Anolis sagrei: one gene and its partners. The protein of the gene in region 2 interacts with the protein of the main gene of each other region in a pairwise test. Links are inferred from orthologs where the notes say so. Each region holds a gene or a part of one and is shown on either strand. Other genes may lie near its edges. The genes, in order: PDCD10, C5H4orf19 and EIF3E.

Region 1 (7,364 bases), on a different chromosome or scaffold from region 2:
AATGGTCAATGTCACCGAAGTCAATGAAACCAAAACTCTGAAGCCTGCCTAATTATTTCAGCAAATGAGGCGGAACGCCACCACTCCCCATCCCTGGAAGCAAAAGCACAGTAATGAAGTACAGTCAGTCTCTCTGTATCCATGAGTTCAACATCAGGGATTCAACTATTTCCAAAGACAAATCTTGATTTCACCATTATATATAAGGAACAGCATTTTATATAAGGAACCTACAATTTTTGGTATCCGCAGGGAGTCCTAGAACCAAAACCTGGCAGATTCCAAGGGCCCACTATAAGCAACAAAGAATTTGTTGGCAATCCAAGTCTACTGTTTAAGACTGGCACCTTATTTTTCCTCAAATACAGCTGGCTCTGGCCAGACTTTCTCTATCAACACCAAGAAAACAAAACCCTCACTTCTACTACCTCTTCCTCCTGCCATCCCCATTATTTTTTTTCCACCTTATAAAAAACCCCCCCAAACTCCTTGGTTAATTTATGCTTAGGCACATTTAAACTGCAGAATTAATGCAGTTTGGAATCCCTTTGACTGCCATGGTTCTATGATATGGAATCATGGGAGTTGTAATTTGGTCAGGCATCAGTATATTTTACTAGGGAAGGATAAAGACCTTGTAGGCAATCCCTCGTGGCTGCATATGATCATCTTCCAGAGGTAGATTCTTGATGGTGGGTCTGTGACTGTGGGCCCATCCAGACAGGTTCTATATCCCGGGATCTCATCTCAGATTATCTGGCAACAGGGACTCATATAATCTAGTTTAAAGCAGAAAACTCGGGATCAGTTCCTGGGATATAGGGCCTGTCTGGAAGGGCCCTGTGAAGACCTATGCTAGATCCGCATGGCGTTTCGCAATGAGGACATCAATTTCAAGATGGAAGGCAGTCACAACAAAGGGTGCGACTTCCTCTTGGCTTGTTACACCCTGCACTCCAGCCTCTTCAAAATCCATTGCACCGTTTGTAAATGTTGACTTCCTGTTACAATGCTGGGGTGGCAGGGCTTCCCAGTTCTCTGTGTTTATACCACATTTTTTTAAAGTTAGCTTTGAGACCGGCTTTTAAATCATACCACAACTCCTGTGATTCCATAGCAATGGGCTGCAGCACTGCATTTGTTCCCAAACTCTGGTCTTCTGGGCAAACTTCAGCCCTCCAGATGTTTTAGACTTCAACTCCCACAATTTCTAACAGCCTACTGGCTGTTAGGAATTGTAGGAGTTGAAGTCCAAAACACCTGGATGGAGGGCTGAAGTTTGCCCATGCCTGGTGTAGATGCACTCCTCAATGTAACGCACCTACCAATTTCTTCTTTATTGCCATTGTTGTTGTTGTGTAAGTTCAATAACAATAACCAATACCATTTTGACCTGTCTCTCCTCCAAAACATCACGTCTGCATAAGAATCAAAATGTGTTTATACCACATTTTTTAAAGTTAGCTTTGAGACCGTCTTTTGAATCATACCACAGCTCCTGTGATTCCATAGCAATGGGCTGCGGCAATTAAAGTGCTGCAAAACTGCATTTGTTCCCAAACTTTGGTCTTCTGGGTAAACTTCGGCCCTCCAGATGTTTTGGACTTTAACTCCCACAATTCCTGCTGTTAGGAATTGTGGGAGTTGAAGTCCAAAACACCTGGATGGAGGGCTGAAGCTTGCCCATGCCTGCTCCGCAATATAATGCACCTACCAATTTCTTATTTATGGCCATTGTTGTTGTGTGCCTTCAAGAACAACAATCAATACCATTTTTACCTGTCTCTCCTCATCTTAAGAATAATTCACGGCGGCTGCTGTGGTTTTCAACTGTGAATGTGTTTGGATGATTTTTAACTGGGAATTTAAAAATACTATTTCAATGTTTGTATCTTTCAAATGGCTATGCCAGGCAAGTGTTTTGGATTTCGATTCCCACAATTCCTAACAGCCTATTGCAGATATGGGCAAACTTCGACCCTCCAGGGGTTTTGGACTTCAACTCCCACAATTCCTAACAGCCACAGGCCCTTTCATTTTTCCCCTCAGCAGCTTAAGCGGCTTAAGCGGCTGCGGGGAAAAATGAAAGGGCCTGTGGCTGTTAGGAATTGTGGGAGTTGAAGTCCAAAACCCCTGGAGGGCTGGAGTCTGCCCATGCCTGGCCTACCGTCTGCTAGGAATTATGGGAGTTGAAGTCCAAAACACCTGGAGGGCTGGAGTTTGCCCATACCTGGCCTACTGGCTGCTAAGAATCATGGGAGTTGAAGTCCAAAACACCTGGAGGGCTGGAGTTTGCCCATGCCTGGCCTACCGGCTGCTAGGAATTATGGGAGTTGAATTCCAAAACACCTGGAGGGAGGGCCAAATTTTGCCCATGCCTGGGTTATGCAAATGCTTTTATGTTTTGCTGCCTTGAGTCCCCTTTGGGGGAGATAAAGTGGGGGTATAAATACATATAATCCTCCCCATGGCTTCAATAGTTCCTTAATTAGGGTGACCCTCAAGGCACCCCATCACAGGGCAAGATTTCTCCAGAGAGGGGGTTGCCCTTGAGGCTGAGAGAGTGTGGCTCGCCCAAGGTCACCCAATGGGTCTCCTGAACCCTGACCTCCAGGCTGAGGCCTAGTCCACCTCCCCGAATTCCCTCTCCTTCCTCCCCGCCACTCGGGCTGGATACCTCAGCAAAGGAGGGCCTCCTCTTTCGGGGACTAGGAAGAACCAACCGCGTTCCCCTCTCTCTCTGTCTCTCTCCTCAGCCAAGCCACTAGGCCCGACGCCTGCCCTCAAGTCGGCTTGCCAGGGGCCAACCCCGTCCTCGAAGCCCCGCAGGCCAGGCCCTGCCAGCGACCCCACTACTACCGAAGGAGAGCGCGCAGCGGCCGCCTCACCTCCCCTCACCCGCCTGCCTGTCCGCCCTTCGAGGCTCCTCTTTCGCCGAGGCCGGAAGTAGCAGCGTCCTCCTTCTCTCCTATGCCACCGCCGTCGTTACCACACACCAGGCGTTGTCCGGAACTAGCCGGCGACCGCGGGGGCCCACGGGGCCTGTAGTCGCGCCTTGAACACTACAACTACCGAGATGCTTTGCGAAGACCGCAAGAGACTCATGAAAGGGGACCAATAGGGAGGAAGGGGGCGTGGCGTTGCCCATATTAGGAGAGAGAGAGATTGGGAAGTAGCGTTCGAAAGGGAGAGGAGGAGGAGCCCAATAGGGAGCAAGTGGCGTGTAGACGAAGAGCGAGACATTAGGAAGCAGCACCCGAAAGGGAGAGGAGGGGGAGCCCAATAGGGAGTAAGGGGCGTGGCGTTGCCCATATTAGGACGAAAGTGGGCGGAGACAGAGACATCTTGAAATAGCATCCGAAAGGAAGAGGAGGGGGAGCCAAGAGGGAGCAAGGGGCGTGGCGTTGCCCATATTAGGAAGAAAGTGGGCGGAGACAGAGAGATTGGAAAGTAGCATCTGAAAAGGAGGGGGGCAATAGGGAGTAAGGGGCGGGGCGTTGCCCATATTAGGAAGAAAGTGGGCGGAGAGAGAGAGAGACATTGCAAAGTAGCATCTGAAAGGGAGAGGAGGGGGAGGACAATAGGGAAAAAGGGGGCGTGGCTTTTGACCATATTAGGAAAAAGTGGGCGGAGAGAAAGAGATTGGGAAGTAGCATCCGAAAGGGAGAGGAGGGGGGCAAGAGGGAGCAAGGGGCGGGGCGTTACCTCTATATTGAAGGCAGAATAGACGAAGTGAGAGACATTGGGAAGTGGCACCCGAAAGGGAGAGGACGGAAAGGCCAATAGGGAGTAAGGGGCGTGGCTTTTGCCCATATTAGGACGAAAGTGGGCGGAGAGACATTGAGAAGTAGAATCCGAAAGGGAGAGGAAGACTAAGCCAATAGGGAGGAAGGGGGCGTGGCTTTTGCCCATATTAGGAACAAAATGGGCGGAGAGAAAGCATCTTAAAGGGAGAGGAGGGGGAGGCCAAAAGGGAGTGAGGGGCGTGGCGTTGCCCATATTTGGAAAAAAAAGGGGCGGAGAGAAAGCGCGAAGAAGCATAAGAAGGGGAGAAGCGATACACCAATCGGGAGAAAGGGGGCGTGGCGTTTTCCATATTAGGCAGAAAGGGGGCGGAGCGAAGGGGAAGTGGGCGGGCCTGCGGAGTAAAACCATTCCCAGCGCAGAGGCGCACCAGAAACAATCCCTGAGGCGGTGCCGGCGAAGGAAGCAGCGGGCTCTGAGTGCGGAGCCACATCTGGAACATCTCTCTCCATCGCTCTTGAAAGCACCTTTGGGGCAGGTAAGCTCTGCTGCCAGTCACCTCTTTGCAAGGCTTGATTGCCTCTCCCCTTTTGTTTATGTCTTTCCTTTGAGAAGAAGAGTGAATATAATTGATCTTTGGCTCCACTGAATAGGAATTTAGTAGTGGATGGTTCATCTTCCCCTTTCTTTTGCTTGGGAACAATAAACTAGTTTACATATTTCCCCCAAAATGCAATTATTATTATTATTTTGGGCAGATCTTCCAGTAGCATAACTTGAACCCACTGAATAAGATCAGGATAGTGGTTGTTTCCCACTCCTCTTTATTTTGATTAGAAAAATATAGACAAGTTTTCATTCTTTCCTCTAATTATACTAATTATTAAAAATTTCATAAATTATTTATTATTAATTGACAGACACAAAATGCAGTATGTCACAGCAAACGAGGTCTATATTATTATTGTTTATTATTATTGTTGTGAGATCTATATTATTATTGTTATATTATCAGGATATATTAACAATATATTATCAATATATCAATATATTAACAATATACCGCAATGAGTCGCCCTTGGGGCTGAGAATTGCTGTATATAAGCGCAGTAAATAATAATAATAATAATAATAATAATATTGTTATATTGTTATATTATTATTGTTATATTATCAGGAGCCCCCGGTGGCGCAGTAGGTTAAACCCCTGTGCCGGCAGGACTGAAGACCGACAGGTTGCAGGTTCGAATCCGGGGAGAGGCGGATGAGCTCCCTCTTTCAGCTCCAGCTCCTCATGCGGGGACATGAGAGAAGCCTCCCACAAGGATGATAAAAACATCAAATCATCCAGGCGTCCCCTGGGCAACGTCCTTGCAGACGGCCAATTCTCTCACACCAGAAGCGACTTGCTCCTGACACAACAAATTTTTTTGTTTATTATTGTTTATTGTTATTATTGTTGTTGTTATTTTTATTATTATTTAATTGGGCAGCTCTCCCCGTATCTTAACTTCACCCTCTCCCAATTTCCTTCCCAAGCATCTTCTCAGCTAAGTGCTGGATCACTTCCCAGAGGCTTTTCTATGTTTTCCCCTGTTGCTAGCAACCTATGAGGATATATTGTTGTCTCTCTTCCTTTCCGCCACTGCAAGCTTTAACAGTGATGTTGCAAATTAAATAATTTCTACCTGCAGTCATTTCCCCTCCCTGTATTGAATTTTGTGAAGTAACTGATTATATGGAATAATTATAGCAAATGCTCCTTTTGCTCAAAGATAATGGGCATTTCCCCCTTTGTCATTCTCCGTAAGCCCCGATTTGTGTGTGTTTGCGGTTGAGAGGCACTGTCATTTACCCCTTCAAGAGTTAAAATAATGCTACGAAATGTCATTTGAGGTATATATCTATATCTTGGTAAAGTCAGTATATTTTTCATATATATGTATCCTGGTTGTGGGATCAAGCATTTGCAGAGCAGACTGACTTACTGGTTGAATCCCCGATTTGTATGTGTTTGCAGTTGAGAGTCACTGTCATTTACCCTTCAAGAGTTAAAGTAATGCTACGAAATATCGTTTGAGGTATATATCTATATCTAGGTAAAGTCAGTATATTTTTTCATATATATGTATCCTGGTTGTGGGATCAAGCATTCGCAGAGTAGACTGACTTACTGTTTTAATGGAATGTTTCTAGGATGACGACTTAAATTGGCAAACTGTTTTAATGAATTTTTATATCTGTTTTATTATAATATGTGTATATATGCTTGTTTTTACTTTGTTGTTGGCACTGTGCTTTGCCGGTTGGTAGCCACCCTGAGTTCCTCTGCAGAGGTTGAGAAAGGACTACACATGCCTAAATAAATAAATAAATAACACACACACACATCTGTATAAATAAAATTGTAATGTTCGTTTATGGGATTAACAGAATTCAAAAACCACTGGACAAATTGACATCAAATTTGGACACAAGACACTTAACAACCCAATGTATGTCCTTCACTCAAAAAAATTGATTTTGTCATATGGGAGTTGTAGTTGCTGCGATTTATAGTTCACCTACAATCAAAGAGCATTCTGAACCCCAACCAACGATGGAATTGAACCAAACTTGGCACACAGTTCTCCCATGACCAACAGAAAACTCTGGAAGGGTTTGGTGGGCAGTGTCCTTTGGTTTTGGAGTTGTAGTTCACCTACATCCAGAGATCACTGTGGACACAAACAATGATGGATCTGGACCAAACTCTACACAAATACTCAATGTGCCCAAATGTGAACACTGGTGGAGTTTGGGGAAAATAGAATCTTGACATTTGGGAGTTGTAGTTGCTGGGATTTATAGTTCTACAATCACAGAGCATTCTGAAGCCCACCAACGATAGAATTGGGCCAAACCTCCCCCACAGAACCCCCATGTGGGCCACAGCAACGTGTGGCAGGGAACGGCTAGTATCTATCTATCTGTCTGTGTGTGTGTGTCTGTGTAGATAGATAGATAGATAGATAGATAGAGTTGGTTCAGAATTGGGCAGTATCAGTATTTATCCCTAGCTCATCCTATAGTGTTGCGTCTCCCACATTACTGGTTCTTGTAAAGATGAGTACCGTATTTGACATCTATCTCTTCAAAAGTTTTATATAGAATGTCGGTCCATTGAGATGGCCATTAGGCTTTGCAATTGGTCTCTTTCATCTCTGTTGGTACAGATGGAAATCTTTATAATGAGCAATTTTGTCACTGACTTCGAATGAGGTTGTCACTTAGTGTTTCCAGATGCTTTTAAAGAAAAGAAAGAAGGCTGTACGCAGTAGAAAAGAGATATTGAAATAATATAGGGAAGAATGTTTATATACAGGTTTTCCATGCGATTTCTACATTTGGTTTCACATTGTTGTTCAGGCTACATCTCATGAAATGGATTGTGTAGCCTATGGAAACTTGTGCCAAATAAAACCAACTAGTCTTTAAAATTCCACAATATTTTTTTTTGTTCTCTTGCTGCAATGTAGCCTCCTCCCTCAATTTTTTTACTAAGGATGTGAGTCTACACTTCTTTATTGGGAGTGGAAGGGCATCTACACTGTAGAACAAATACAGTTTGATGCCACTTT
Region 2 (7,153 bases):
TTTGTGTCAGTAAAATAATAATAATAATAATAATAATAATAATAAAACAATAACTTTATTTTTGGACCCCGCCTCCATCCCCTCAGAGGAATTTGGGTCGGCTTACATTGGGACGAGCCCGATGTAAGCCGCCCCATAGTTAAAATATAACACACTAAAATACATAAACAACAGCATAAAACAGAATAAAACAACAAGATTATAACAGAATATAAAAGCAACCATCAAACCAACAACAATGAACCTGTAATAATAATCAATTTTGGGTGGTATGGCTATGTTCTAGCAGCATTTTCTCCTGAATTTTCTTCTGCATCTGAAAATGACAGCCATAGATACAGGCAAAATGTCAGGAGATAATGCTGCTAGAACACGGCCATACAGCCCAGAAACCACACAACACTCCACTGAAAGAAGATCTATTTGATAGCCCTCAGAACCCATTCATTAGCTTCATGTGTCAAAGCAATTACAAATTTAAACCACCAAAAGTTCAGGGAAGATTGTGGTTGAGCAACTAATAAACATGTTACAATAATTCTATGTAACCAATAAAATAAGAACAAAGTACAAGTAATAGAACGGATAGTGCTGTCTTTTTAAAATATATTTTTCATTAATTTTTAACTATTGAAAACTTCATTCGACCCATCACTTGGACCACATACTTCTATCTTTTTATCCATGAGCACAATTTTCTTAATTTCAGTACAATATTCAAATTGGCTTTGCTACTATTTATCCATTCCATATAAACCATCCATTTATCTTTTATTTGTTTTGTTTTACACTCACACGTAGCATCATGAGTTCAATATACTAAAATATCAGATTGTAATTGATCATAAAAGTAGTAATTCCAATTTTCTATAGTCCTCCCCCCCCCCCCCCCAATATTTCCCACCCCATGCTATCACTGCCTGTCCTGCTAAAATCATAGCTTTAAATAATTCCTGGTCTTTTACTTTAACCTTGTTGTTACCTAAAACTTCCATTAGCATCACATCAATGCTCACTTGAAGTGATAAATTAAATAGGTTTTCTTCCATTTTCTCCTTGGACATTCCCACCAAATATGAGCATACTGTCCTTTGTTTAAATCCCACTTGCCTAGTTTCCAATAGACCTCACAACCTCTGAGGATGCCTGCCAAAGATGTGGGCGAAACATCAGGAGAAAATGTTTCTGGAACATGACCATACAGCCCGGATATCTCACAGCAACCCAGAGATTCCAGCCATGACAGCCTTTGACAATATATTGCATCATGTTTCCATCTGAACTGCTTTTTGAATAATGGGATCTACAAGTTCAGCAGTGGAGTAGGCTGCCTGGGAGTGTGGTGGAGTCTCTTTCTCTGAAAGAGGTGATTAGATGTCCTTGTTTGTTTCCTCTTTGTTGTTGTGCTGTTGCAATTTTAGAGTTTTTTAATACTGGTAGCCAAATTTTGTTCATTTTCATGGTTTGTTCATCTAATAACCTCTCAACAAAAGTTTTCTCCAGGCACAGTCAGGCCATTGTATGCTAATCAAAGTGGTCAGTTGAAACATTCACACCTAGCTCCAGCAGACAAGAGTCCTTTGTCTCACCCTGGTCATTCCACAGATATATAAACCCTTTTTCCTAGTTCCAACAGACCTCACTACCTCTGAGGATGCTTGCCATAGATGCAGGCGAAACGTCAGGAGAGAATGCCTCCATATGACCATGGCCATATAGCCCGAAAAAACCTACAACAACCCAGTGATTCCGGCCATGAAAGCCTTCAACAATACAGTATTTTCTGTTGGTCAAGGGGGTTCTTTGTGGAAAGTTTGGCCCAATTCTATCATTGGTGGGTTTTAGAATGCACTTTGATTGTCGGTGAACTATAAATCCCAGCAACTACAACTCCCAAATGTCAGTGTCTATTTTCCCCAAACTCCACCAGTCTTCACATTTGGGCATATTGAGTATTCCTGCCAAGTGTGGTCCGGATCTCTCATTGTTTGAGTCCACAGTGCTCTCTGGATGTAGGTGAACTACAACTCCAAAACGCAAGGTCAGTGCCCATCAAACCCTTCCAGTATTTTCTCTTGGTCACGGGAGTTCTCTGTGCCAAGTTTGGTTCAATTCCCTCATTGGTGGAGTTCAGAATACTCTTTGATTGTAGGTGAACAATAAATCCCAGTAACTATAACTCCCTAATGATAAAATCCCCCCCCCCCCCCCAAAAAAAAACACCTTGCCAGTATTCAAATTGGGGCATATTGGGTACTTGTGCCAAATTTGGTCCAGTGAATGAAAATACATCCTGCATTTCAGATATTTACATTACGACTCAGAACAGTACCAAAACAACAGTTATGAAGTAGCAATGAAAATAATGTTCTGGTTGGGGGTCACCACAACATGAGGGGCTGTATTAAGGGGTCACGGCATTAGGAAGGTTGAGAAATACTGGCCTAAGGGCTAAACAATAAAAATTAGTACTAGACTTAGCTTGACTTCTGAAGCAGAGACCTCCTGTGGGTCACTACATTAGAAACTGAAGAGTTTCACAGCATCTTATCATCATGTTGGGTCATAGCATGTTTGTGTCCAAGAGCCCCTTAAATTTCCAGCTCAGTTGCGGCAGGAAAAAAAGCCAATGGGATGTTGGCCTGCATCAATAGGAGTCTAGTGTCTAGATCCAGGGAAGTCATGCTACCACTCTATTCCGCCTTGGTTAGACCACATCTGGAATACTGTGTCCAATTCTGGGCACCACACTTGAAGGGAGATGTTGACAAGCTGGGATGTGTCCAGAAGAGGGCGACTAAAATAATCAAGGGTCTGGAGAACAAGCCCTATGAGGAGCGGCTTAAAGAGCTGGACATGTTTAGCCTGAAGAAGAGAAGGCTGAGAGGAGACATGATAGCCATGTTCAAATATGGGAGAGGAAGTTATAGGGAGGAGGGAGCGAACTTGTTTTCTGCTGCCCTGGAGACTAGGACGTGGAACAATGGGTTCAAACTACAAGAAAGGAGATTCCATCTGAACATGAGGAAGAACTTCCTGACTGTGAGGGCCAGACATCTAGTGGGGGGGGGGGGGCTTGAGGGGCTTCATCCCCCCCCCCCCCCCAAATTCTCAGGGTGGTCTGCGAGAAGGCCTTACTGGTACATTATTTCAACTGTTATGTTTATTTATATCATGATCTGATCACCATGCCCAATATATCCCATATGCATAAGGCTTAAAGAACTGGGCACGTTTAGCCTGAAGAAGACAAGGCTGAGAGGAGACATGATGATGGCCATATATAAATATGTGAGAGGAAATCATAGGGAGGAGGAAGTGAACTTGTTTTCTGCTGCCTTGGAGACTAGGATGTGGAATGATGGCTTCAAACTACAGTAAAGGAGATTCCATCTGAACATTAGGAAGAACGTCCTGACTGTGAGAGCCGTTCAGCAGTGGAACTCTCTGCCCCGGAGTGTGGTAGAGGCTGGATGGCCATCTGTTGGGGGTGCTTTGAATCCAATTTTCCTGCTTCTTGACAGGGGGTTGGACTGGATGGCCCATGAGGTCTCTTTCAACTCTGTGATTCTATGAAAGAAGGAGCCTCCACCGCACTCTGGGGCAGAGAGTTCCACTGCTGAACAGCTCTCACAGTCAGGAAGTTCTCCTGAATCTCCTTTCTTGTAGTTTGAAGCCATTGTTCCACGTCCTAGTCTCCAGGGCAGGAGAAAACAAGCTTGCTCTCTCCTCCCTATGACTTTCTCTCACATGTTAATACATGGCTATCATGTCAGCCTTCTCTTCTTCAGGCTAATCATGCCCAGCTCTTTAAGCCGCTCCTCCTAGGAATTGTTCTCCTTGATCATTTGAGTGGCCCTCCTCTGGACACATTCCAGCTTGTCAATATCTTACTTCAGTTTTTGAGGTAAGAGTATTCCAGGTGCGAGCTAACCTAATCCTCCTCATTAGGACGTTTGGCTGGTTTTCTCCCGCCTTCAACTTGCAGGTAAAGGGTTACAAGAGTGTCTCCTGGGATGTCTTCCATGCAAACTCTCTCTGTGAGTGTGTGTGTGTTTGTTTTTTAAAGGGCTTTTCTTTTCCTCAGCGGTCACGTGACGCCCGGCTGCCCAATGGCACCCAGGGCAGGCTCCCTCCGAGGTCAGGCAAACTGGCTCCGGGCTGGGAAAAAAGGGGGCAGTTTGGCGAGGCTGCCTTTCCCTTTTCGCCTTCAAAGGAGGCAGTCCGGTTCTGGCCATGGGAGAAGCTGAGCCCCAGCCTGGAGGGAGCAGAGGCTGCAGGTAGGAGGAAACTTGGGGAAAACTTTGGGGACAGGTGTGAATGAGCGGTGGGCTCACCTTGCCTGGCGATGGAAGGCTCTCCCCTCCCTTGGAAAGGCATCCACTCACCCACCTCTCTTTCCAAAGGAGCAACAGGGTGTTTAGGAACCCCTCCTTTTTTTGGGAAGCTTAGCCCACAGATCCAGGGATATCTACCTGAGTGGGACAACACAGGGCAGAAAGTGGAGGGTGCGAGAGAGGAACCTCCTGACCCCCCCCCCTCCCCAAAGAAGGCAACTTGTGTGTAGGTGGCCAGAACTTTCAAATATATAGGCAGCCCCCAAGTTATGAACAAGATAAGTTCCACAGGTTTGATTTTAGGTTGAGTTTGTATGTAAGTCGGAACAGGTGTATTTTTGAAGAGTTGTCATTCCAGCCAAAAACACAGGGGGGAGGGGTGTGTGTGTGAGAGAGAGAAAGAGAGAGAAAAAAGAGAGGAACAGAGGGATAAGAGTAGAGAGAGAGGGGGGAAAGGGAAGAGGGAGGGATAGAGAGGGTGGGGGGGAAGGAGAGAGAGTGAGGGGAGAGAGAGGAAACGGGAGAGAGGGAGGGGGAGAGAGAAGAGAGAGGGAGGAAAGAAAGGAGGGAGGGAGAGAATGAGAGAGGATAGAGGGGAGAGAGGAAAGAGGGGAGAGGGAGATAAAGTGGGGGAGAGAGGGAGAGAAAGAAAGAGAAGAGAGAGGAAGCAGAGAGAGAGGGGGAGAGAAAGAAGAGGGAGAGAAAGAAAGAGTAGAGAGAGGAAGCAGAGGGGGAGAGAGGAGGAAGAGGGAGGAAAGAGGAGAGAGGGAGAGAAAGAGGGGGGAGAGGGAGAGAAAGAAAGAGAGAGAAGAAAGGGAGGAGGGAGGGAGGGAGGGAGAGAGAGAGAAAGAGAGGAGAGGGAGAGAGAGGGAGGAGGGAGAGAAAGAGAGAGGAGAGGGGGAGAGGAGGAGAGAGGGAGAGAAAGAGAGAGGGAGGGAGAGAAGGAGAGAAAGAAAGAGAAAAGAGAGGGAGGAGGGAGAGAGAAGGAGAAAGAAAGAGAGAGAGAGAGTAGATATTTCGGTAGCATAGGGAAGGGTAAACACCCCTGTGCTGTTTGTTTACTGTCTGTTCCACTGTTCCAAAGATTTCACCTCACTTTCTCTCCCTGCAATTAGATTTTGAAACTTTTGGCTTGCACTGAAACAAGGCTTGCTGATAAAGCTTCAGTGGAGACACCTTTTCCCCTTAATCACTCTTTCATGAGTGAATTTCCCTTTCAAGGGTTCAGATTTTGTCTCACCCCCATTCTTATCTAGGAGTCATTTGTAACTCAGGGACTACTTACACTAGAAGAACTTGGCAAAGATACACCACTTAGGCAGAAAAAATGAAATGCAAAGATACAGAATGGGGGATGCCTGGCTTGGCAGCAGTACTGTACATGTGAAAACATCTTGGAGTCCTCATGGACAACAAGTTAAACATGAGCCAGCAATGTGATGTGGTGGCTAGTCCAATTCTGGGCACTGCAATTGAAGAGAGATGTTAACAGGCTGGAATGTGTCCAGAGGAGGGTGACTCAAATGATCAAGGGTCTGGAGAACAAGCCCTATGAGGAGCGGATAAAAGAGCTGGGCATGTTTAGCCTGCAGAAGAGAAGACTGAAAGGAGACGTGATGGGGGTCATGTATAAATATGTGACTGGAAGTCATAGGGAGGAGGGAGCAAGCTTGTTTTCTGCTGCCTTGGAGAATAGGACACAAAACAATGGCTTCAAACTACGGAAAGGACAATCCTCCTGAACATGAGGAAGAACTTCCTAATGGTGAGAGCTGTTCAGCAGTGGAACTCTCAGCCCTGGAGTGTGGTGGAGGTTCCTTCTTTGAAGACTTTTAAACAGAGGATGGATGGCCATCTGTCAGGGGTGCTTTGAATGCAGTTTTCCTGCTTCTTGGCAGAGGCATGGACTGGATGGCCCATGAGATCTCTTCCAACTCAATTATTCTATGAAGAACAATTTTAATCAGCAATAACTTACCAGCATTTCAATGGGAAGTGTGGGCCTGCTTTTAGCTGATGAGAGTCAGGTTAAAAAAGATTGTTGTTGTTGTATGCCTTCAAGTTGTTTCAGACTTAGGACAATCCTAAGTTTAAAGATTAAGGCTGATTTGCTGTCCTGTGTAATGTCTGAAAGGACCTCCGGTCCAAGAGCACAGGAGAAACTTGGATAACTAGGAAGAAATAGGTAATATGATGAGAAGATTAATAGGGAATAATAATCATAACAACAAGAACACAACTTTATTCAAATCCCTCCATCATCTCCCAAAAGGGATTCGGGGCAGCTTACAAAGCACATAGTAGTGCAGCAGAATATACAAAATATAGTCAAATACATGAATATTTATAAAACAACACCAATGTCAATTTACGTAAAACAAATATACATAAAAACAGTATATAAAGCCCCTACTAATTTAAATAAAATACTCATTTTTAACAAGAGAGAAAAGTGGGGTATAAATAAATAAATATAAAAATACAAGGTATAAAAGAGATAAAAAAGGATATAAAGATATTGATAAATATAAGAAAGAACTATATAACGATTGGGAGTATCTGATAACCATGTGTGAGTTGCACCTTCAAAGTAATGGAGTATGACACTTTGAATGGACAATGACTGGTTGAGTTGTTTCTATGATCTTTATGGGTTATGGGAGGAAATCACAGCACTGAGTGAAAGTGAGACAGTTTGCATCATTTCCCATAGTTTCGTAACTCGGCATTTCTCAATGTCCTTGTTTTATCATACCCAGGCTAAGTCCCCCCCCCCCCCCATTTCATCACCTGCTTATCCCATCCAAGCATTTAGA
Region 3 (7,693 bases), on a different chromosome or scaffold from region 2:
CACCAAAATGGGAGGGATAGCTAATACCCCAGAAGACAGGAGCAGAACTCAAAAAGATCTTGACAGATTAGAACAGTGCTTCTTAATCTGTGGGCCGCAGCACAGCAGTGGGCCGCGAGAACAAAAATCTGGTCCATGAACCTTTTCCTTCTTTATTTATTTTATTTCCACTACTTTCCACAGATCTGACCAGCCCCACCACTTTTGGTACTAGTAATCCCTGGTCGAAAAAAAGGTTGGCAACCACTGAATTAGAGAGATGGGCCAAAACTAACGAAATGAAGTTCAACAAGGGCAAATGCAAGATACTCCACTTAGGCAGAAGAAATGAAATGCAAAGATACAGAATGGGGGACGCCTGGCTCGATAGAAGTATGCATGAACAAGATCTTAAAGTCCTCTTGGACAACAAATTAAACATGAGCCTACAATGACATGCGGTGGCAACAAAAGCCAATGGGATTTCGGCCTCCATAAATAAGAGTCTAATGTCTAGATCCAGGGAAGTCATGCTACCCCTTTATTCTGCCTTCGTTAGACCACACTTGGAATACTGTGACCAATTCTCAGCATCACAATTTAAGGGAGATGTTGTCAAGCTGGAGTGTGACTAAAATGATCAAGGGTCTGGAAAACAAGCCCTATAAGGAGTGGCTTAAAGAGCTGGGCATGTTTAGCCTGCAGAAGAGAAGGCTGAAATGAGACAAGATACCCATGTATAAATACATGAGGGGAAATCATAGAGGAGGGAGCAGGCTTGTTTTCTGCTGCTCTGGAGACTAGGATGCGGAACAATGGCTTCAATTTACAAGAAAGGAGATTCCACCTGAACATTAGGAAGAACTTAGTAACTGTGAGAGCTGTTCAGCAGTGGAACTCTCTGCCCTGGAGTGCGGTGGAGGCTCCTTCTTTGGAGGCTTTTGAACAGAGACTGGATGGCCATCTGTTGGGGTTGCTTTGAATGCAATTTTTCTGCTTCTTGGCAGGGAGTTGGAATAGATGGCCCACAAGGTCTCTTTCAACTTAATGATACTATAAAAACTGTGGTAGTTTCCTCATATTTCTTCCTTTAGGGTTGCTGTCACAGTGAAAGGCACACAGACATGTGCCTTTCACCTTAAGAACAGGCAAGCATTCCGAGCTCTGAGGATCACCTGGGAAGGAATCCTACTGGAGCATTGCAGCACACCCAAATACCTGGGAGTCACTCTGGACCTACAAGAAGCACTGCCTAAATATCAAGCAAAAAGTGGGTGCTAGAAACAATTATCATATGAAAGCTGACTGGCACAACCTGAGGATCACAACCAGACACAGTGAAGACATCTGCCCTTACACTATGCTACTCTGCTGCTGAGTATGCATGCCCACTGTGGAACACATCTCGCCACACTAAAACAGTGAATGTGGCTCTTAATGAGTCATGCCGCATTATTATGGGGTGTCTGCGTCCTACACCACTGGAGAAATTACACTGTTTAGCTGGTATTGCACCACCTGACATCCACTGGGAAGTAGCAGCCAATAGTTAAAGGACCAAGGCAGTGACATCTCCAGCTCACCCCTTGTTTGGGTATCAGCCAGCACGTCAATGACTTAAATCAAGAAACAGTTTTCTAAGGTCTACAGAGACACTTGCTGGAACACCTCAGCAAGTGAGAGTCCAAAAGTGGCAGGCTCAAACCCAAAACCTCAACCAATGGCTGATACCAAATGAGAGACTCCCCCCTGGGCACACAGAAGACTGGGCGACTTGGAAGGCGCTGAACAAACTGCGCTCAACAAACTGCGCTCTGGCATCACGAGATTATTATTATTATTATTATTATTATTAACTTTATTTGTACCCCGCTAGCATCTCCTGAAGGACTCGATGCGGCTTACATAGGCCAAGGCCTCAAACACAACACAACAATACAAAACCTAAAGCAAATTAAAAACAATTAAAGCAATATTAAACAACAAGCAATAAACAATACATCAAGACACAATAAAACTGGGCCGGGCCAGTGAATGGGTACAAGATTAAAAGTGCTGATGTGAGAGGTGATATAGGGTTATAGGGTAAGTGCAGTGTGCTGCAATCTCAATTCTAATAAAGTGCTTCTGGACTTGTTATTGGAGTTTTCCTATTCTGGAAAGGCAGATGCAGAGCCAATCTTAAGAAATGGGGCTACAAAGTTGAATCCACGACATGCAAGTGTGGAGAAGAGCGAACCACTGACCACCTGCTGCAATGCAACCTGAGCCCTGCCACATGCACAATGGAGGACCTTCTTGCAGCAACACCAGAGGCACTCCAAGTGGCCAGATACTGGTCAAAGGACATTTAATGAACTACCAAGCTTGCAAACTTTGTGGGTTTTTTTTAATCTGTTTGTTTGCTTTGTTCTGTTAGAAATGTAATACAATGGTCTGGTTTCCCCTGACACGATAAATAAAATAAATACAGTGAATTTTCTCAAGATGATGCTCTCTAGTTAATAAAGTGTATGTGAGGCAATCTCAGCCAAGGTAGATTTGGCAAGAGCACTTATGTGTGACTTTACAGGTTTCTGTTGTAGCCCAAGTTTGTCACCACAAGAGAATGAAGAAGACAACGTCATATTGCTGAGTAGATGATGTTAAAGCTACTTCACAGAAACCTGGCCAGGAAAAGACTGGAGTCCAGCAGATACAAAAGAAAACAGGCCTCCAGAGGCTGAAGCAAAGGGCTCCCATCTGCTCCCTCCCTCAGCACAGCGTCCCAAGAGGCGGAGGCGCCTCCTTTTCCTCCAAAGTAGAGGAGGCCGCTGGGGAGGAAGCCCCGGCCTGTGAGGCCTGCTAGCCGCCCCGAGGCTCCCCCGCCAGTTCCCCCTGAAAAGGAAGGGAGGCGCCGCTCTCACCTCTTTGACGGAGAGGAACTCGAGCAGCGGGAAGACCAGGTGCCGGTCCAAGAAGCGCGCGATGCGGGTGGTCAAGTCGTAGTCCGCCATCTTGGGCGCCGCGCTGAGAGGGAAAGGCTGACGCACGGCACGTTCGACGCCGTCGCCGAACGAGATCGGACTGCGCACGCGCAACAGGGCACGCACTGCCTTTGCCGTCTCCCCGTCTCTAGGCACAGCAAACCTTTCTACGCATGCGTGAAGAACTTCCGCCCTTCATGTCCCTCCTCCTTATACATTTAAGCTCCGCCTCTCCTCCCCTCCGCGTCACTAGTCGCTAGGAGAATAACTCCTGCGCATGCGTACAGAGTTATTTTCTCACTCCTTGCTCAACTTCTTTCCCCTTATTCCTCCTTAGAATCATAGAATCAAAGAGTTGGAAGAGACCTCATGGGCCATCCAGTCCAACCCCCTGCCAAGAAGCAGGAATGTTGCATTCAAATCACCCCTGACAGATGGCCATCCAGCCTCTGTTTAAAAGCTTCCAAAGAAGGAGCCTCCACCACACTCCGGGGCAGAGAGTTCCTCTGCTGAACGGCTCTTGCAGTCAGGAAGTTCTTCCTCATGTTCGGATGCAATCTCCTCTCTTGTAGTTTGAAGCCATTGCTCCATTGCGTCCTGGTCTCCAGGGAAGCAGAAAACAAGCTTGCTCCCTCCTCCCTGTGGCTTCCTCTCACATATTTATACATGGCTATCATATCCCCTCTCAGCCTTCTCTTCTTCAGGCTAAACATGCCCAGCTCCTTTAGCCGCTCCTCATAGGGCTTGTTCTCCAGACCTTGGCTGTCCACTCATCTTCTTATACTATTTTTCATAAAAGTCATCATTCTGTAATATATAAAACGACATCTATAATATATAGAAATAATAACATTGTCATGTAATAATCCTAATATATTATATATAATATTAATGATACTGTAATATATTATATATACTACAACTTATGATATAGTACAATGTATTATATAGTACTAATAGAATATTATACTTGTGTGTGTGTGTAATACAATATAATATATACTAATATAATACTTGCTTGTTATATATTACTTTTTTTGTCGTGTCAGGAGTGACTTGAGAAACTGCGAGTCACTGCTGGTGTGAGAGAATTGGCCGTCTGCAAGGACATTGCCCAGGGGACGCCTGGATGATTTGATGTTTTTATCATCCTTGTGGGAGGCTTCTCTCATGTCCCTGCATGAGGAGCTGGAGCTGATAGAGGGAGCTCATCCGCCCCTCCCCAGATTCGAACCTGTGACCTGTCAGTCTTCAGTCCTGCCGGCACAGGGGTTTAACCCACTGCGCCACCGGGGGCTCCTTATATATTACTAAGAACATTGCAGTATAGTGGTATAGTACAATATAGTATTATATAATACTAATATTGTGCCATGCTAATATTATGTTGTATATACTGCTAATATTATCATGTAATACAATATAACAATAATAATACAATATAATAATATATAATAATGTAATACAGTAATACTAATATATTAACTATAATTACTACTGAGTAATAAACTTCATTTATAACCTTTCCTGTCTCCCCGGGGGGACTCAGGGCAGTTTTCAACAAAATAAGGCAAACATTCAATGCCATAATAAACAATAGAAACAAAAACAAACCAAATCAAAACAGTAAACAAACACATCAATACAAACTTATGGTAACTGTAATAGTAAAAACATACAATATAAAAATTAAGAATAAGTTGAAACCATAAATATTAGTAAATGTTGCAAAATCCTAATGATGACTCAATCAAAATAGGTAAAACCACCCTGATAATACCCGATGAACGGGCTGTTTGACACCACTTGAACATCGGTGGTTCAATGCCATGAAATCCAGAGAGCTTTGTAGTTTGGTGTGACACCAGCCCTCTTAGGCAGAGAAAACTAAGGACCTTTTAAAACTACAACTCCCCTTATTCTATAGCGTTAAGCTATAGTACTTCAACTGGTGTCAAACTGTGTTAATTCCACAGTGTAGATGTGCCCTAAGACTTCTTGCCTATGTATCATTCTCTTGCTCTGGAGTCATTGGGGTAGTAGCCCTGTGAGAACCAGTGCTTCTTATGGTCACTGGATGAAAAGTCGGGTCTGAGAACAGATTATCCTTTATCCAAAGTGCTTGAAACCGGTGTTTTAGATTTCCAGTATTGTCAGATTTTGGAAACTTGGCACATACATGTTGAGATATCTTGAAGACGAGACCCAAGTCTAGACATTAAATTCATTTATGTTTCAAATACACCTTATAAACATGGCCCGAGGGTGATTTTATACATAATTTTTAAAAAGAAATTATTTATGAAACAAAGTTTGTGTCCATTGAAGTTACCTATCTAAGAATTTTCCAGGTTCTCCTATGAGATGCAACTTCTGACAGAAATAATTCATTTTCACAGGATTCACTATTGCCCATGGCTTCCTGTTTCCACTGCCACAGTAAGTTGAGGGACACATTCCCTATGGATATGGGAATGTACTATTTATTTACTTACTTACTATATTTCTACCCAGCTCTTCTCACCTCGAAGAGGACTCAGAGTAGCTTACAGTTTGGCCACTTTGGTGCCACATTGCAAATACACATTGTATAAATACATCACATTAGACTAATAAAAAGATACACATAGAACCACTAAAACTGGTTATCCTATAATGTTTTCTTGCAAGGACAAGGTTATATTATACACTAATTTTTAAAGTTTCATGTTCTTCGTTTGCCTTTAGAGACAGGCATCACATGCAATTAGTATGTGTTACCTTTGCCTCCTTACAGCACAACAGTTTGCCTGTCTATTTGGAACTAGTCAGAACTAGTGCTCCTGGGTAAAGTTTATCTGGAATATTATGGTCAGTTCTGGGTAGCACCAATTTAAGAAGAATATAGACAGCTGGAATGTGAGGAGGAAACAAAGACATATGAGGAACAACTACGGGAGCTGCATTTAATTAGTCTGAGGAAGAGAAAATGGATTTGTAAACCATCTTGACTCCCCAGGGTAGAAAAAGACAAGATATAAATGAGATAAATAAATAGTTATATTTAGTATTTGTATCATGGATGGTGTGGATGAGGGGTTGGCTGTGAAACTAGAGCAGCCGTGAGCAAACTTTGCCTCTCCAAGTGTTTTGGACTTCAACTTCCAGAAATCCCAGCCAACTTAGCAGTTGTTAGGAACTGTGGGAGTTAAAGTCCAAAACACCCGGGGAACTGAAGTTTGCCCATATCTGATCTACAACCTAGCCAAGAACAGCAATTGCTCATCCACACCCAGAAGCAGCAACTGCTAAGCCTGCTCCCCAAGAGAAAAATCTCAGCTGAGATATTCAATCAGAATTGCTGAGAGAATGGCCAGAAATGGGGATGAGCTGTTAAAGCAACATGTAAGGCTTTGTCTCATGCTGCTCAATTGCTGGTAGCAATGTTAGAAACTACGCCTTGGATTTTGCACTCTGGGGAGCTGTGGATACCATTTGGAGTTTTGGACAGTTTCATCGGTTGTAAGTTTGGTGGTTGGATTGGATCAGGACTAAATTTGGCCTGCTTTTCTGCTACTTCCTTGAAAGCTTGTTGTTACTGAAAATTGACTGGTCAACCTTGGACTGTGTAATTATGCTGTTGGAGATTCCAGGGTGAGGTATTTAACCATTTCAAAGAATATCATGTAGAAGATGGAGTGAACCAGTATTCTAATGTTCCAAGAAGAATACCAGATTCAAATATCAAGAAAAAGGAGTCCACTTAAACTTTAGGAAGAACTTCCTGGCTTTAAGAGTTTTTCAACAATGGAATAAATTGCCTCAGAATTTAGTATATCCTACTTCTTTAGAAGTTTTTAAAGAAGTTGGATATCCAATTCACAGTGTTATCGAGCCAAGGTAATCCCCCCAAAAAAGATTTATAGTTCAGAAATAAATATATGTTTCCCTTTTTAAAAGACCCTTTCCAGACTTGTGCATGTTCAAAGCATCAAAACATCAAGATCAAGCTAGCAGTAGCTATAAGTCTCTAAACTCTATCATATCTAACCCTTTAATAAATTATATCTATTCTTCTTTACCAAGATATAAACCAAATAAGCCCAGAGACATTCCCAAGCCAAGATAACCACCAAGTTCATTGTTCATGCGTATGCAGAGATAGGTAGTTTTCTATCGGCTTAGATAAACCTAAACCTGTTTGTCTAGCTATATGATTTACTTGAAGCTGAGAGATTGCTGCCCACAAAAACAGGCTTGTAGATATGTGCATGTGTTGAACTTCTTTATTGACAGCCAAGCCTTTGATTACTCAAGATCAGCACCTTTGTTCCTTGAGTCTTACAGCTTTGCTTTCTGAAGCTCCCATTTTTGTTTGAATTGGAACTAGACATTTGATCTCATCCAAGGCCCATCACCATAACTTTACTATTTGTTTACCCCAGACTGTGCCCTCTCGGGGCGTTTCTGCAGTTGATTGGTCCTCCACTCTGACCAATCCCTGGCTGCCATTTTCCCTCCCAGCCAATCCTGGCATGGATCCTAGTAGCCTCTTTTCTGGTTAATCAGGGGAGGGAGCGGGAAGTCTGAATAGCTGTCAGAACTGTATCCCCTGTATTTCTCTGTAAGTTTATGCTTGAACGTTTTGAAACAAAAGGCTTATCTTGTATCCCTTTTGGCCAAACCGAATAAACCTCTGTGGCTTGTCTTCAACTTGGTGAGTTGGTTTCTCTGTCTTAACCTATCTGGTTTAGCATACACTCACCAGG

What was found.
Region 1: the proteins of C5H4orf19 (region 2) and PDCD10 interact in binary tests that used the Homo sapiens proteins (3 or more experiments, as listed by UniProt). The two-hybrid records come from large-scale screens. The link is inferred for Anolis sagrei from reciprocal best matches to the Homo sapiens genes PGCKA1 and PDCD10.
Region 3: the proteins of C5H4orf19 (region 2) and EIF3E interact in binary tests that used the Homo sapiens proteins (3 or more experiments, as listed by UniProt). The two-hybrid records come from large-scale screens. The link is inferred for Anolis sagrei from reciprocal best matches to the Homo sapiens genes PGCKA1 and EIF3E.

Annotation. Positions count from the first base shown.
Region 1 is NC_090023.1:250,379,177-250,386,540, forward strand, and holds the start of PDCD10 (programmed cell death protein 10), read right to left. Parts: upstream 3,069-7,364; 5' UTR 2,899-3,068; exon of another isoform or gene 2,889-2,898; intron 2,840-2,888; exon of another isoform or gene 2,678-2,839; intron 1-2,677. UniProt on the Homo sapiens protein: Promotes cell proliferation. Modulates apoptotic pathways. Increases mitogen-activated protein kinase activity and STK26 activity. Important for cell migration, and for normal structure and assembly of the Golgi complex.
Region 2 is NC_090025.1:118,415,493-118,422,645, forward strand, and holds the start of C5H4orf19 (uncharacterized protein C4orf19 homolog), read left to right. Parts: upstream 1-4,109; 5' UTR 4,110-4,280; intron 4,281-7,153. UniProt on the Homo sapiens protein: Acts as a tumor suppressor. Acts as a tumor suppressor for colorectal cancer cell proliferation by targeting KEAP1/USP17/ELK1/CDK6 axis.
Region 3 is NC_090024.1:27,384,020-27,391,712, reverse strand, and holds the start of EIF3E (eukaryotic translation initiation factor 3 subunit E), read right to left. Parts: upstream 3,050-7,693; 5' UTR 2,976-3,049; coding exon 2,886-2,975; intron 1-2,885. UniProt on the Homo sapiens protein: Component of the eukaryotic translation initiation factor 3 (eIF-3) complex, which is required for several steps in the initiation of protein synthesis.